Linked DNA regions of Canis lupus familiaris. The protein of the gene in region 3 purifies or fractionates together with the protein of the main gene of each other region. This does not show direct contact. Links are inferred from orthologs where the notes say so. Each region holds a gene or a part of one and is shown on either strand. Other genes may lie near its edges.

Evidence for each region.
Region 1: the proteins of STX12 (region 3) and GOSR1 purify together in Homo sapiens (affinity purification with mass spectrometry; 3 studies listed by BioGRID and IntAct, counting the BioPlex papers as one, with this or other methods). This does not show direct contact. The link is inferred for Canis lupus familiaris from reciprocal best matches to the Homo sapiens genes STX12 and GOSR1.
Region 2: the proteins of STX12 (region 3) and VAMP8 purify together in Homo sapiens (affinity purification with mass spectrometry; 3 studies listed by BioGRID and IntAct, counting the BioPlex papers as one, with this or other methods). This does not show direct contact. The link is inferred for Canis lupus familiaris from reciprocal best matches to the Homo sapiens genes STX12 and VAMP8.

Annotation. Positions count from the first base shown.
Region 1 is NC_049230.1:44,447,576-44,451,322, forward strand, and holds the start of GOSR1 (Golgi SNAP receptor complex member 1), read left to right. Parts: upstream 1-1,434; 5' UTR 1,435-1,561; coding exon 1,562-1,592; intron 1,593-3,747. UniProt on the Homo sapiens protein: Involved in transport from the ER to the Golgi apparatus as well as in intra-Golgi transport. It belongs to a super-family of proteins called t-SNAREs or soluble NSF (N-ethylmaleimide-sensitive factor) attachment protein receptor.
Region 2 is NC_049238.1:39,847,192-39,850,938, reverse strand, and holds the start of VAMP8 (vesicle-associated membrane protein 8), read left to right. Parts: upstream 1-1,392; 5' UTR 1,393-1,523; intron 1,524-2,031; 5' UTR 2,032-2,274; coding exon 2,275-2,277; intron 2,278-3,598; coding exon 3,599-3,747. UniProt on the Homo sapiens protein: SNAREs, soluble N-ethylmaleimide-sensitive factor-attachment protein receptors, are essential proteins for fusion of cellular membranes.
Region 3 is NC_049223.1:71,960,991-71,964,637, reverse strand, and holds part of STX12 (syntaxin-12), read left to right. Parts: intron 1-1,775; coding exon 1,776-1,845; intron 1,846-3,372; coding exon 3,373-3,472; intron 3,473-3,647. UniProt on the Homo sapiens protein: SNARE promoting fusion of transport vesicles with target membranes. Together with SNARE STX6, promotes movement of vesicles from endosomes to the cell membrane, and may therefore function in the endocytic recycling pathway.

The DNA.
Region 1 (3,747 bases), on a different chromosome or scaffold from region 3:
GGCTCCCTGCATAGAGCTGGCTTCTCCCTCTGCCTGTGTCTCTGCCTCTCTCTCTCACTCTGTGTCTGTCATGAATAAATAAATAAAATCTGCCTCTGCTTCTCTCTCTGTCTCTCACGAATAAGTAAATTTTAAAAATATTTTTTTAAAAAATAGAAATTACCCAATTTGAACAACAGAAAACAGACTGAAAAAAAAAATTAGTAGAGCCTCAGGGATATGTACGACTCTAACAAAAGATCTAGCATTCATGTCATCAGAATCCCAGAGGGAGAGGAAAAAGAGTAAGGGACAGAAAAAGTTTTAGAAGAAACAATGGCTGAAAATTCCCCAAATTTGGCAAATGACATAAACCTAAGAGTCAAGAAGCTGAGCAAATCCCAAACCGGATAAAACCAAAGAAATCCACATTAAGACACATCTTAATCAACTTTCCGGAAAGTAAAGAAAAAATCTGGAAAGCAGTACTTAGCTATAGTAGAAAAACAATTCAAAAAACAGCCAATTTCTCATCAGAACCGTGGAGGCCAGGAGGAATTGGGCACGTTTTTCAAGTGCTAAAGGAAAAAAAAAAATTGTGAACCTCAGATTCTACATCTGGCAACGGTATCTTTCAGGAATTAAGGGGAAATCAAGACATTATCAGATGAAGGAAAACGAGTCGAATTTGTCTCCAGCTGACCTACTCTTTAGAAACGGCTAAAGGAAGTTGTTGAAACAGAAGGGCAATGATACAAGAAGGAATCCTGGAACATCGGGAGGCAAGAAAGAAAAATGTTAAGAGTAAAGTATGGATAAATGCAGTCCACTTTCCTTCTGCTTTTGAGTTCTATAAATCATGTTTGGCAGTTGAAGCAAAAATTGTAACGTTATGTGGTGTGGTTCTCAATGAATGTAGAGGAAATCTTAAAGAGTCGTAAGTGGGAGTGGGTGAAGGGACAGGTGTGATTTAAACACCTCTGTGGGACGTAACTTTTCTACATTTCACTAGAACTGGTAAAATGCGGACACAAGCCAACTGCGATGATTTGTGTGTCTTTCGGGGCGGCTTTGGACGGCTGATTCCGACAGGTTGAGGGGGCCGGACGAGGTACACGGACGCAGTCGGCCGGGTAGGCCGCACACCTGCCAGAGCCCGAGGGATGCTGGAGCACCCGCGGAGGAGGCCGGAAGAAAGGGCTCGTCTTGGGAAGAAAAGAGCCTGCGGCGCCGAGAAGGGAAAGCGGTTGGCTGAACACTGGCGATGACTTTCTTCTCCGCCACGCTGGCTCCTGCTGAGAGAGGGGGTAAGCTGACCTGAGGGCGATGATGCGGGTTTGGGGCGCCGGAGAGGGCAGGAGCAGCACCAGGACAGACACTCAGGTAGTGTCTGGGATTAAAACTGGTTTCCAGCCCCATTGCTGAAGAGCTGTGAAACGATTAGTTGGCCGCCGGGGGGCGGTGTCCGTGGAAACTGACGTATCCCGTCGGCCCTGGCGCCGGGGCGGAAGAAGGTGCGGAAGTGATTCTCTGGCTCGCCTCGTCTCTACTCTCCTATCCCGACTGACGTTGGACAACAAAGATGGCTGCAGGAACCAGCAATTACTGGGAAGGTGAGGGCGAGGCTTCCGTGTGGGTCTCACCAAGAGGTAGAAGGGCTGGGTAAGGACGGGTCTTGGGGGAGGCGGCAGAGGAAAGAGCCCGGCCTCCGGAGCGGCCGAGCTGACGGGTGAGGCTTCTCTAGTGGGAGCCCCTGGCCTGGGGGCTGAAGAGCCCGAACGGTCTGGGGCAGGGGGGCTGAGCCGAGAGGCAGCGAGACTTGGGACAGAGGTGGGCGGAAGGAGCTGGGCGGGGAAGGAAGGTCCTGAGTCCCTGGGGGAGAGCGGAGTTGAGGGGCCAGGCGAACTTGGACGAAGGGGCTTGGGGGACGAACTCTGAGAGGAGACGAGTTTTGAGCGAGAATATCCCGACCCCAGGAGGCTGGAAGAGTCAGCGTTTTAAGAGTTGAGGTCACTGTTGGACAGCGGAGTAGGATAAGGGGAAGAAGGAACTTGTCAGTCCGGTCCATCGAGGGAAGTTCTATGGACGGAGTGTCTCCTCCTCGGTCCCTTTGGCAGGACTGAGGGCTGGGACTTCGAGGATTGGGTTTGGAGACTTCGAGTCGCGGTTTGGAGACTGAGGAAATAATTACCCTCTGCCGTGGAGATGGGTTTTATTAAAAAGCGAAAGTTGAGAGAACCAGTGTGAATTGCGGTGATTGCATTTGCTATATACCTCTTTAGCACCCCCCCCCCAAAAAAAAAAAAACCTGTCTTGTGATTTGACAAGTACGTTTATTGAATTAATGAAAATATGTTCCGATAGAGTGGGCTGTTATAAAATTCCCTCCTGGACCATGATGACGACCGAGGGTCAGAGAAGGCTCATCTGTTTCTTTCCATTGTCTCTCTGCTCTATTACAATGGGAGCTACTCTCCGAAGCCTCTTGGAAACCACAAGTAACAGTACTGTCCCCAGCAGCCAGTTAGTTGGTCTAGGAGCTTAGTTCGAAGTTCGTCCGTATTTGCCTTATTACACTTTCAGAATGCTTTGTATTGTTTTGGTTTGGTTTTTGGATGTTTTCTACTAGGGAGGACAGTTCTAGTTGCAGAGAAGCATGATTATAGTTTAAAACATGTATTTAAATGCCTATTTGAAATGTGTGTGCTAGATAGAAAATATTTTTAAGTTCTGTAGAAGCGGCTATTGGTATCCTTAATACTAGTCGTTAGGCTATAGTTTTTTGAAGCGCCATGTTGTGATAATTACAGCAGCTTGTTGTTGACATCCTACTCTGTGCCGAGGGCTTTAAGCACATGGTTACTAATGCATAGAAAAACCCTGAAGGTAGGGTCCTGGGATGGAGCCCTGCTTGGGCTGCTAGCTCAGCAGGAGTCTGCTTGAGGATTTCTGTCCCCCCCCCCCCCCCGCCCCTTGCTCATGCTCACTGTCTCTCTCTCAAATAAATAAATCCCTGGGTGGCTCAGTGGTTTGGTGCCTCCCTTCAGCCCAGAGCGTGATCTTGGAGTCCCCGGATCGAGTCCCACATCGGGCTCCCTGCATGGAGCCTGCTTCTCCCTCCGCCTGTGTCTCTGCCTCTCTCTCTCTCTCTCTCTGTCTCTCATGAATAAGTAAATTCTTTAAAAATAAATAAATAAATCCTAAAAACAAAACAAAAAGTGAAGGTTCATTGGTTCAGTAGATTTTCAATAAATCTCAGAGCCAAGTTCTCAAAATCTCAGGATGTTAGGATGGGATAAGATGCGGAGACTTGGTCTCTGGCAAAATATGTTCCACTGTGTTCTACTGCTTCCTACTTCTGGTTGCTGATAAATATATTGAAGTAATGTTTTGTAATCCTTATTCCTGAAAGATGAGGTCCTTATAATATTTCTTTATATATTTCAGCCCTTGTATTTTGAGGCCCACTTTACCATGAATGAAAGTATTCACATCTAGGGATCCCTGGGTGGCGCAGTGGTTTGGCGCCTGCCTTTGGCCCAGGGCGCGATCCTGGAGACCTGGGATCGAATCCCACGTCGGGCTCCCGGTGCATGGAGCCTGCTTCTCCCTCTGCCTATGTCTCTGCCTCTCTCTCTCTCCCTCTCTGTGACTATCATAAAATAAATAAAAATTAAAAAAAAAAAAAAAAGAAAGAAAAAAGAAAGTACTCACATCTAGATGTGGGTTTCCTGACTGGACTTCTCTCCCTCAACCACTAAGCCAAAT
Region 2 (3,747 bases), on a different chromosome or scaffold from region 3:
GCTGAGGGCAGACGCTCAACCGCTGAGCCACCCAGGCATTCCTGTAACCCTAATTTCTATTCTGGAAATCCTCCTCCATGTCTTTATGCTCTCCTCAGACATCCTACTTTGTTTCTTGGCACCTATCCTATGTCCCTACCCACCACTGCACTTAGCATCTGGAATCATTAATAATAGTAATCATAATAGCCACCATTTACTGAGGGTTGTTTCAGTGCCAGGCATAGATGGTGAGGTAACTGAGGTTTATAGATGTCACATCAGTCTGTCCAAGGTCACATGAATATTAATGCATAGATCAGTGTGTCTTATAATGGAAATATAATTTGAGCCACATTTGTAATTTTTAATTTTCTACTCATCAAATTAAAAGAAACAGGTGAAATGAGCATTAACAATTTTTAAAATTTAACTCAATAAATCCACAACATCATTTCAACATGTTATCAGTATCAGTTAAGTGTCTGCCTTCAGCTCAGGGCATGATCCTGGGGTCCTGGGATTGAGCCTGGATTGTGCTCCCGGCTTCTCCCTTTCCCTCTGCCCTTTCCCCTGCCTCATGCTCTTTCTCTCAAGTAAGTAAATTAAAAAAAAAAAAGTCTTTGAAATACTTGGGGTGCCTGGATGGCTCAGTGGGTTGAGCATCCCACTCTTGATTTCAGCTCAGATCACTGATCTCAGGGTTTTGAGACTGAGCCCAGTGCAGGGTTCCATACTCAGAGAGCAGTCTACTTGAGATTCTCTCTCCTTCTGCCTCTGCCCTTCCCCTCCTGATGTATGTGTGCCTGTGCTCTCTCTCTCAAATGAATAAATAGATAAATCTTTTAAAAAAAGAAATACTGTGTGTACTCTTACATCACTTCTCAATTCAGACTAGCCACAGTTTAAGTGCTCAGCAGCCATATATGGTCAGTGGCTATGGTAATGGACAGCATAAGTACAGATCAAGGATTCTGACCCATCTCCACTTGACCTCTTTATAGATTTTCTTTTTTTTTTTTTTTCTTCTTTATAGATTTTCTAAGGATGATGAGAAGTGAGACAGCCACATTCTCTGTGAAAGTAGGCTGGTACTGTCCATCAAATTTCAGATTTGCAAAATATAATAATCTTATTTAATTGGAGATAAGATTTCATTATAAAGTAGAATAAAGTATCTCAAAACAGAGGTCCAGAAATTGTCATTTCCTTTAACAAAATATGTGTTAGAGAAACTGACATTTCTCTCTTAGAACTAATAATACTAAAAAAAAAAAAAAAAAAAAAAGAACTAATAATACTTCTGGGATGGGACAGGAATGTTTGTTCTCTTTTGCCTGTCCCTGTTTTTGTTCTGTCTTGATAAATACCATCTGGGAAGACTAGATATTCTGTGGCCTGGAACCAGGTGGTGGAAAAATCCTTTGCCTGGGGCCCTTCTCTTGTCCATAGGGCAGGCCTCTGACCATTTCTGAGTAGGCTCACCAACCCCTCAAAGCGGCTTCTGAAGGAAATGTTGAACTCTGGAAGGGAAGAAGGGATTGGTAAGCCATCATTCCCTCGTCCCAACAGTGGACAGGTCTTCCTTTCAGAAACTGTGGCAGGCACACTGAGTGTGCTATCCTGTTATACGTCCCCACCATCCTCTGAGGTCAGCATTAGCACCTGCCAAAACCAGAGAGGTGAAGAATTTCACTCAGGGTCACACTAGTAATCCGGAGCTTTCTGACACCACAGCCTAGGATTACAGCACTCCAGACTTGGGGGGATTTTAATACTTTCTGTCCACCCCTGAACATGGGAACAGGGGTTGCTAGCAAGAAACTTTCATATCTGTGTTCTGTTTCCATGTGAACTACCCCTGGTGGTGTACTTAGAGTTGACTTCAGTGTTTAAGATTTGGAGTCAGATATTCAGGACATTAAAAAAAAGGGGGGGGGGCGGAGCCAGCTTCCCTATCTATATCAGGAGGTCCAGCCTCAGGAAACCTAGGAGGGCTGCTTGATCTTCTTTTTCTTTTTCTTTTTTTTTTTTCTGGTTCTGATGCGTTAGAAGATCTCTGGTGATCGAGCCCTGTTGCTTTAAGCCCGAGCCCAGGTTTGGGAGGAGACTGGGAGGGCAGCGGAGGGCGCCCGCCTACCTGCCGGCCCGCGCTAGGTGAGGCTGGAGCCGCTCGGGATGCCGGCGGGCGGGGGCAGGCTCGAAGTTGGAGCGAGCAGGAAGTGAAGCGAGGGCCGCCCGGGAGGAAACAGACGAGGGAGTCTCGCCGCCGCCAGGCCCGAGCCGCTTGGAGACATGGTGAGCGCGCTGGGAGCTCGCGAGGGGCTGAGCGAAAGGCGAGCGGGGGCTGGGGGCGGGGGGCTGGGGGCGGGGGTCGCAGGGCCGCTGGCCAAGTCGGAGGGCTGGCCCGGTGCAGCCGGTGGCCGCTCTCCTTTGACAACTTGGCTGCCCGGGCGGCTGCCCCCGCGCCTTCTCCCTCCCCTGCCCTCGGAGCTGGCCCGGAGCGGGGCTCCGGTGGGGGTGGAGGCTCCGAATTCCAGGCCGGGAGCCGCTGAGAGGCCCTTCCTGGCCTCCTCCGGCCCGCCGGGCGCCGAGCCCGGTGACCCCCCTTGGGCAGCGCCTCCGAAGTTCCCAGGGCGGATTCCAGCCCAGCGGCGGGAGCCCTCCCCGTCGGCCCTTCCCTTTATCCTGTCGAGAAACTCCAAGAATCCGTCTCTCTCTGCCCGGCCTAAGGAATCGGGCCCCTCTCTTTAAACACGGAGAAGAAGGCGAAGGGTTTGTAAAAGAACCAGAAGTTGGTTCTCTGTGACAATCCGTCTAGTTTGGACCGGCTCCTGGCCTGTTTCGGAGGTCTAGGGGGTCAGGGAGGGAGGAGCCTAGTAATGGTTTGCCCTCCCTGTTCAAAAACTTTATCAGCCAGGGAGGACTTGCCCTCCATTTCCCTCAACAGCCAGTCTGCTGTTTTTATTTAATATCTGCTTAAGGAGGCAGTGGCAGCTTGGTTGGTGCCGGCACATGGGGCAGTGTGTTGGGGGAAAGCAGAAGTTTATGGCGCAATGGCTCTCCCTCTTGGGGCCTGGCCAGGGCCTTGGAACCCGGTGGCTGTTGCTCTGGGTCACAGCAATTAGGCAGCTCCGGAGGTCTGGGGAAGTCTGGGGCGGGAGCAGCTCTCCAGCTGCTGTCCAGCAGTGAGGGGGGTGTTGTGGCAGCTGAGGGTGTTCTGCTGGCCAGCACAGATATTTTCAATGAGGATCCTTCGGTTAATAGTGGTGGGTTTCCCCCTTGTGAGATGCCAGCTCAGCAGTTCTCTGCCCCCATCTGAGGAGCAAGGCAACAGTGGAGTGGGATTTAGGGTCTGTGTTTCTTTTCCTCCTCAGGGGCCCTGAGAACCTGAAAAGAAACTGGATCTAGTCTGTCTAGCATCAGCACTCACCTTCTGGGGCTTAAAAGTGCATTTGTTTTTGATCACATGAGTAATACATGAAAACATTCTTTGTAAACAGTTCAAGCATTAAAAAAAAGCTAAAGTCCACCTTAGGCCTTCCCCTCCCCTGGCCTCTGAGGCTGAGTCTCAGTTCCTCCACCACTTCGCCTAATTAACCCCTGCGTTGCTGCCCAGGAGGAGGCCAGTGGAGGTGTTGGAAATGATCGTGTGCGGAACCTGCAGAGTGAGGTGGAGGGAGTCAAGAATATTATGACCCAGAATGTGGAGCGGATCTTGGCCCGAGGAGAAAACCTGGACCATCTCCGCAACAAGACAGAGGATCT
Region 3 (3,647 bases):
AGCGGTTTGGCGCCGCCTGCAGCCCAGGGCGTGATTCTGGAGACCAGGGATGGAGTCCCACATCAGGCTCCCTGCATGGTGCCTGCTTCTCCCTCTGCCTGTGTCTCTGCCTCTCTCTCTCTCTAGCTGTGTCTCTATGAATAAATAAATAAAATCTTTAAAAAAATATTAAAAAAAAAAAAAAGCAAGCAAGCAGGGGTACCTGAGTGGCACAGTCAGATGCACATCTGACTTGGTTTCAGCTCAGGTCGTGATCTCAGACTCATGAGATCAAGCTCTGCATCAAACCCCATGTCAGACTCCGGGCTCTTCACATTCCTCCCAGAGTCTGCTTGGAATTCTCTCTCCCTCTGCCCCCCACCCCCATATGCACATGTTCTCTCTCTCTCTCTCTCTCTCTCTCTCAAGTAAATACATTTTTTAAAAAAAAGCAAAGATCAACAAAAAAATACAACAAAATTCCAACCTCTATAAATGAATGAATGAATGAATGAATGAATCTAGCTCCTTCATCGTTCTGCCAACCAGAAAAAGAACAGAAAGCAGGACACAAAAGAAATCAAAAAGTTAATTACACTTTTAAAAAAGCTCAGAAAGCCCAAAAATATTTAGACTAAGAAAAAAAAAAAAAAGAAATCAATGCTCTATTTGTGGTGCACAGATTAGTGAGGTACAGGACTTTTTATATTCCCAGGCAGGCTGGTGTTAAGAGTGTTTCCCCTTATTGATAGATGATCAGTTCCTCTGGACCTCTGCTTTCCTAGTCCAGGGCTGGAGGCCTAAACATCTAGAATTGAAACATGACCATTTCCAGTCTTAGCAAAGTATCTAGGAAAAGACAGAGAATGTTATCTGAATGAAACCATGTATTTGTAGACAACATAGTTAAAAGAACATGGAGTTCAGTGTATCTGGGATTGAATTTTTTGCCCTGTTACTTATTGTGTACCCTTACATAATTAACTTCTGTAAATTTAACTTATAGAACTTATTTAAATGTATTTCTTCATCTGCAAAATGAAGATATACTTACTTCAGACTGTTGCTGTGAAAATTAATAAAATAATGTATTAAAGCTCCTAATATAGAAGTTCCTGACAGGGGCACCTGGGTGATTCAGTCAGTTAAGCATCTGCTTTTGGCTCAGGTCTTGATCCTGGGGTCCTGGAATCAAGCCCCATATTGGGCTCTCTGCTCAGCAGAGTCTGCTTCTCACTCTCCCCCTCCTCCTGGTCATGTTTGTGAGCTCTCTCTCCCACTCTCTCTCTGAAATAAATAAAATCTTAAAAAGAAAAGTCTCCTGGCACATGGCAGGTGCTCAGTTAATGGTAATTTATTATTATTTTTAATCGTAATTTATTATTAATAACAAATGTACATTGTCTTTACAAAAGCGTTTGCTATAGAAAAATTATTGTATATTATGAATTTAAATTTTAATTGTAATGAGTTAATATTTGGTAGTAAGGCCCTTCCAAAGGTGTTGAAATTTTAAGCCAGCACCATGGGAAATCTGGAAAATTTTGGAAGTTCTTTGGGAATGATGAACAAAACTGCCATCCTCTACTTGGTGGCATAATTATCTATAGCAGAGAGGTGAACCTTGTAATTAGTTTTAGAAGAGAATATATATATCAAATTTTTGGTCATAACATGCTTTCTCTTAGTTGCATGAACTTATACAGGATGTGCAGAGAGACTAGTGATCTGAGAATTAGGATGCTCATGATAAATGTATTTTTCTTTTAAATAAATCTTTCCCCCCCTCTTCCCAGCTGCTCAGATAAAGAATTTGATGAGCCAACTAGGAACTAAGCAGGACTCAAGCAAACTACAGGAAAATCTGTGAGTAGCTTCCTAACATGGTTGCGTTCTATGAGGGCCCTTTGAGGACACACCTACTATCTTTGCTGTGTGGCAGCTTGGGTTTCCAGCCTGTGTAGTCAGAATGACAGGCAGTAGGCCATGCAGTAGGCCATGAAGTAATAGCTGGATCTAGAAGAGGGGCAACAAAATATATTCATGGGTTGTGATCTCTGCTGCCTTTCAAAATCCTTGAGCTCAGATTCTTTCTTCCCATGGGCAATTTAGCAGAACACTTTGAGGAAGTAGAGAAGGGAACTCCTACCACTATGAAACTGTATTCTGCCTAAATGAGCCTCCTTGTTGGCACAGGACTCTAGATGATCTGCAGACAACATCTAGTCTAGTGGGATTTCCAACTGTAAATATTAGCGAAACGTATTCAGAATGACATGAGGGGTGTCGGAGGGAGAGGAGAGTGGACTGGTAGTAGGGACTCATAATTCTTTTTATTAGATCCTTCTTGACCCCATTTCTGCTTTTAGAAGTTCTATTCTTCATCTTTAAAGTATCTTGAATGGTATTGTTTCCTGTCCTAGACAGTGTGAAGTGAGAGAATGACTTACTACTTGGGGTTTTTTCCAGGGATATGTGAAAAACCTTTGGATGTGTTAGTAATTTCTGGGAGGTACAGGTCCCTGATTGATTCCCTCTTGTTTTTGACTACCCCCTCCCCCCCTTTTTTTTTAATCTGGGAGGCCTCTTTGCAGTGGAAAAATAATAATGATTAAGTAGTAGTTTCTCTGTCCTCTTTTTAAAACCTTTGTAGAAATGGCCACAGAGTGGAGGAAACCATGACTAAAAGGGGCTCTTTTGTGTTTCCACTACTTTCCAGTCCCACTGAATATAATGCATATTCTTCCCTCTTTCATTTTCTTCCCCTTATACTCCTTACGTGTTTTTACACAGTACAGGGCTTCTTTGTTTTGGAGGGAAGAGCCAGAAAGTCAAGCATGAAGGACGATAGGGAGCCAAGAATAAAGCTGAAAAAGCTCCAGCTTTAAGCAAGAATGTGGGAGTAGATCTTTGGAGGCTGTTCTCTAGGGTAGAAGCTGTGCTTTTAATGCACATTTCATCCAACTCCCAGTGTCTGGATTCTGTCTCTAGTCAGTGGCCTGTGACAGACAGCAGCTATGCAGCACTGCCAGGCAATTCTACATGAGTTTTGTGAGACCTCAGTGTGTTCAAACTATTAGATTTAGATGTGGGGGCAGTTGTTCTTATATTTCTAACAGAATGGCCAATAGGCATTTCTTTTCTCCCCAAGGTTAAAATACCTAATCAGCAGATTTCCACTGAGGCAGGTTCTTTCTGCTGAGTAACATGAAGTGGGTTTGACGGAGTAGTATTTCTAGAATTTCTTTTTGTGAACCTGTGCCTCTGGGAACCCATTCCTTGAGGTACCCCTTTTATTCCTTGCACTGTGAGGCACTCTGAGAACAAGCTGGTACTAACTGTAACAGCTCTCTAGCAGTGGGGATATCCTGAAACATGTCTTTTCTCTCTTAGGCAACAGTTACAGCACTCTACAAATCAGCTCGCCAAGGAAACAAATGAATTACTGAAGGAATTAGGGTCTTTGCCTCTTCCCTTATCTGCTTCAGAACAGGTTGGTATTTTCTGGTGTGTGTGTGTGTGTGTGTGTGAGAGAGAGAGAGAGAGAGAGAGAGAGAGAGAGAGAGAGAGAGGACTTTGTTTTAATGGGAAGGCAATGTGTGAAACAAAAATAACTTGGTCTTTGGTGCTAGGTAGACCTTTTGTGATGCTCAGTTTCCTTATCTGTA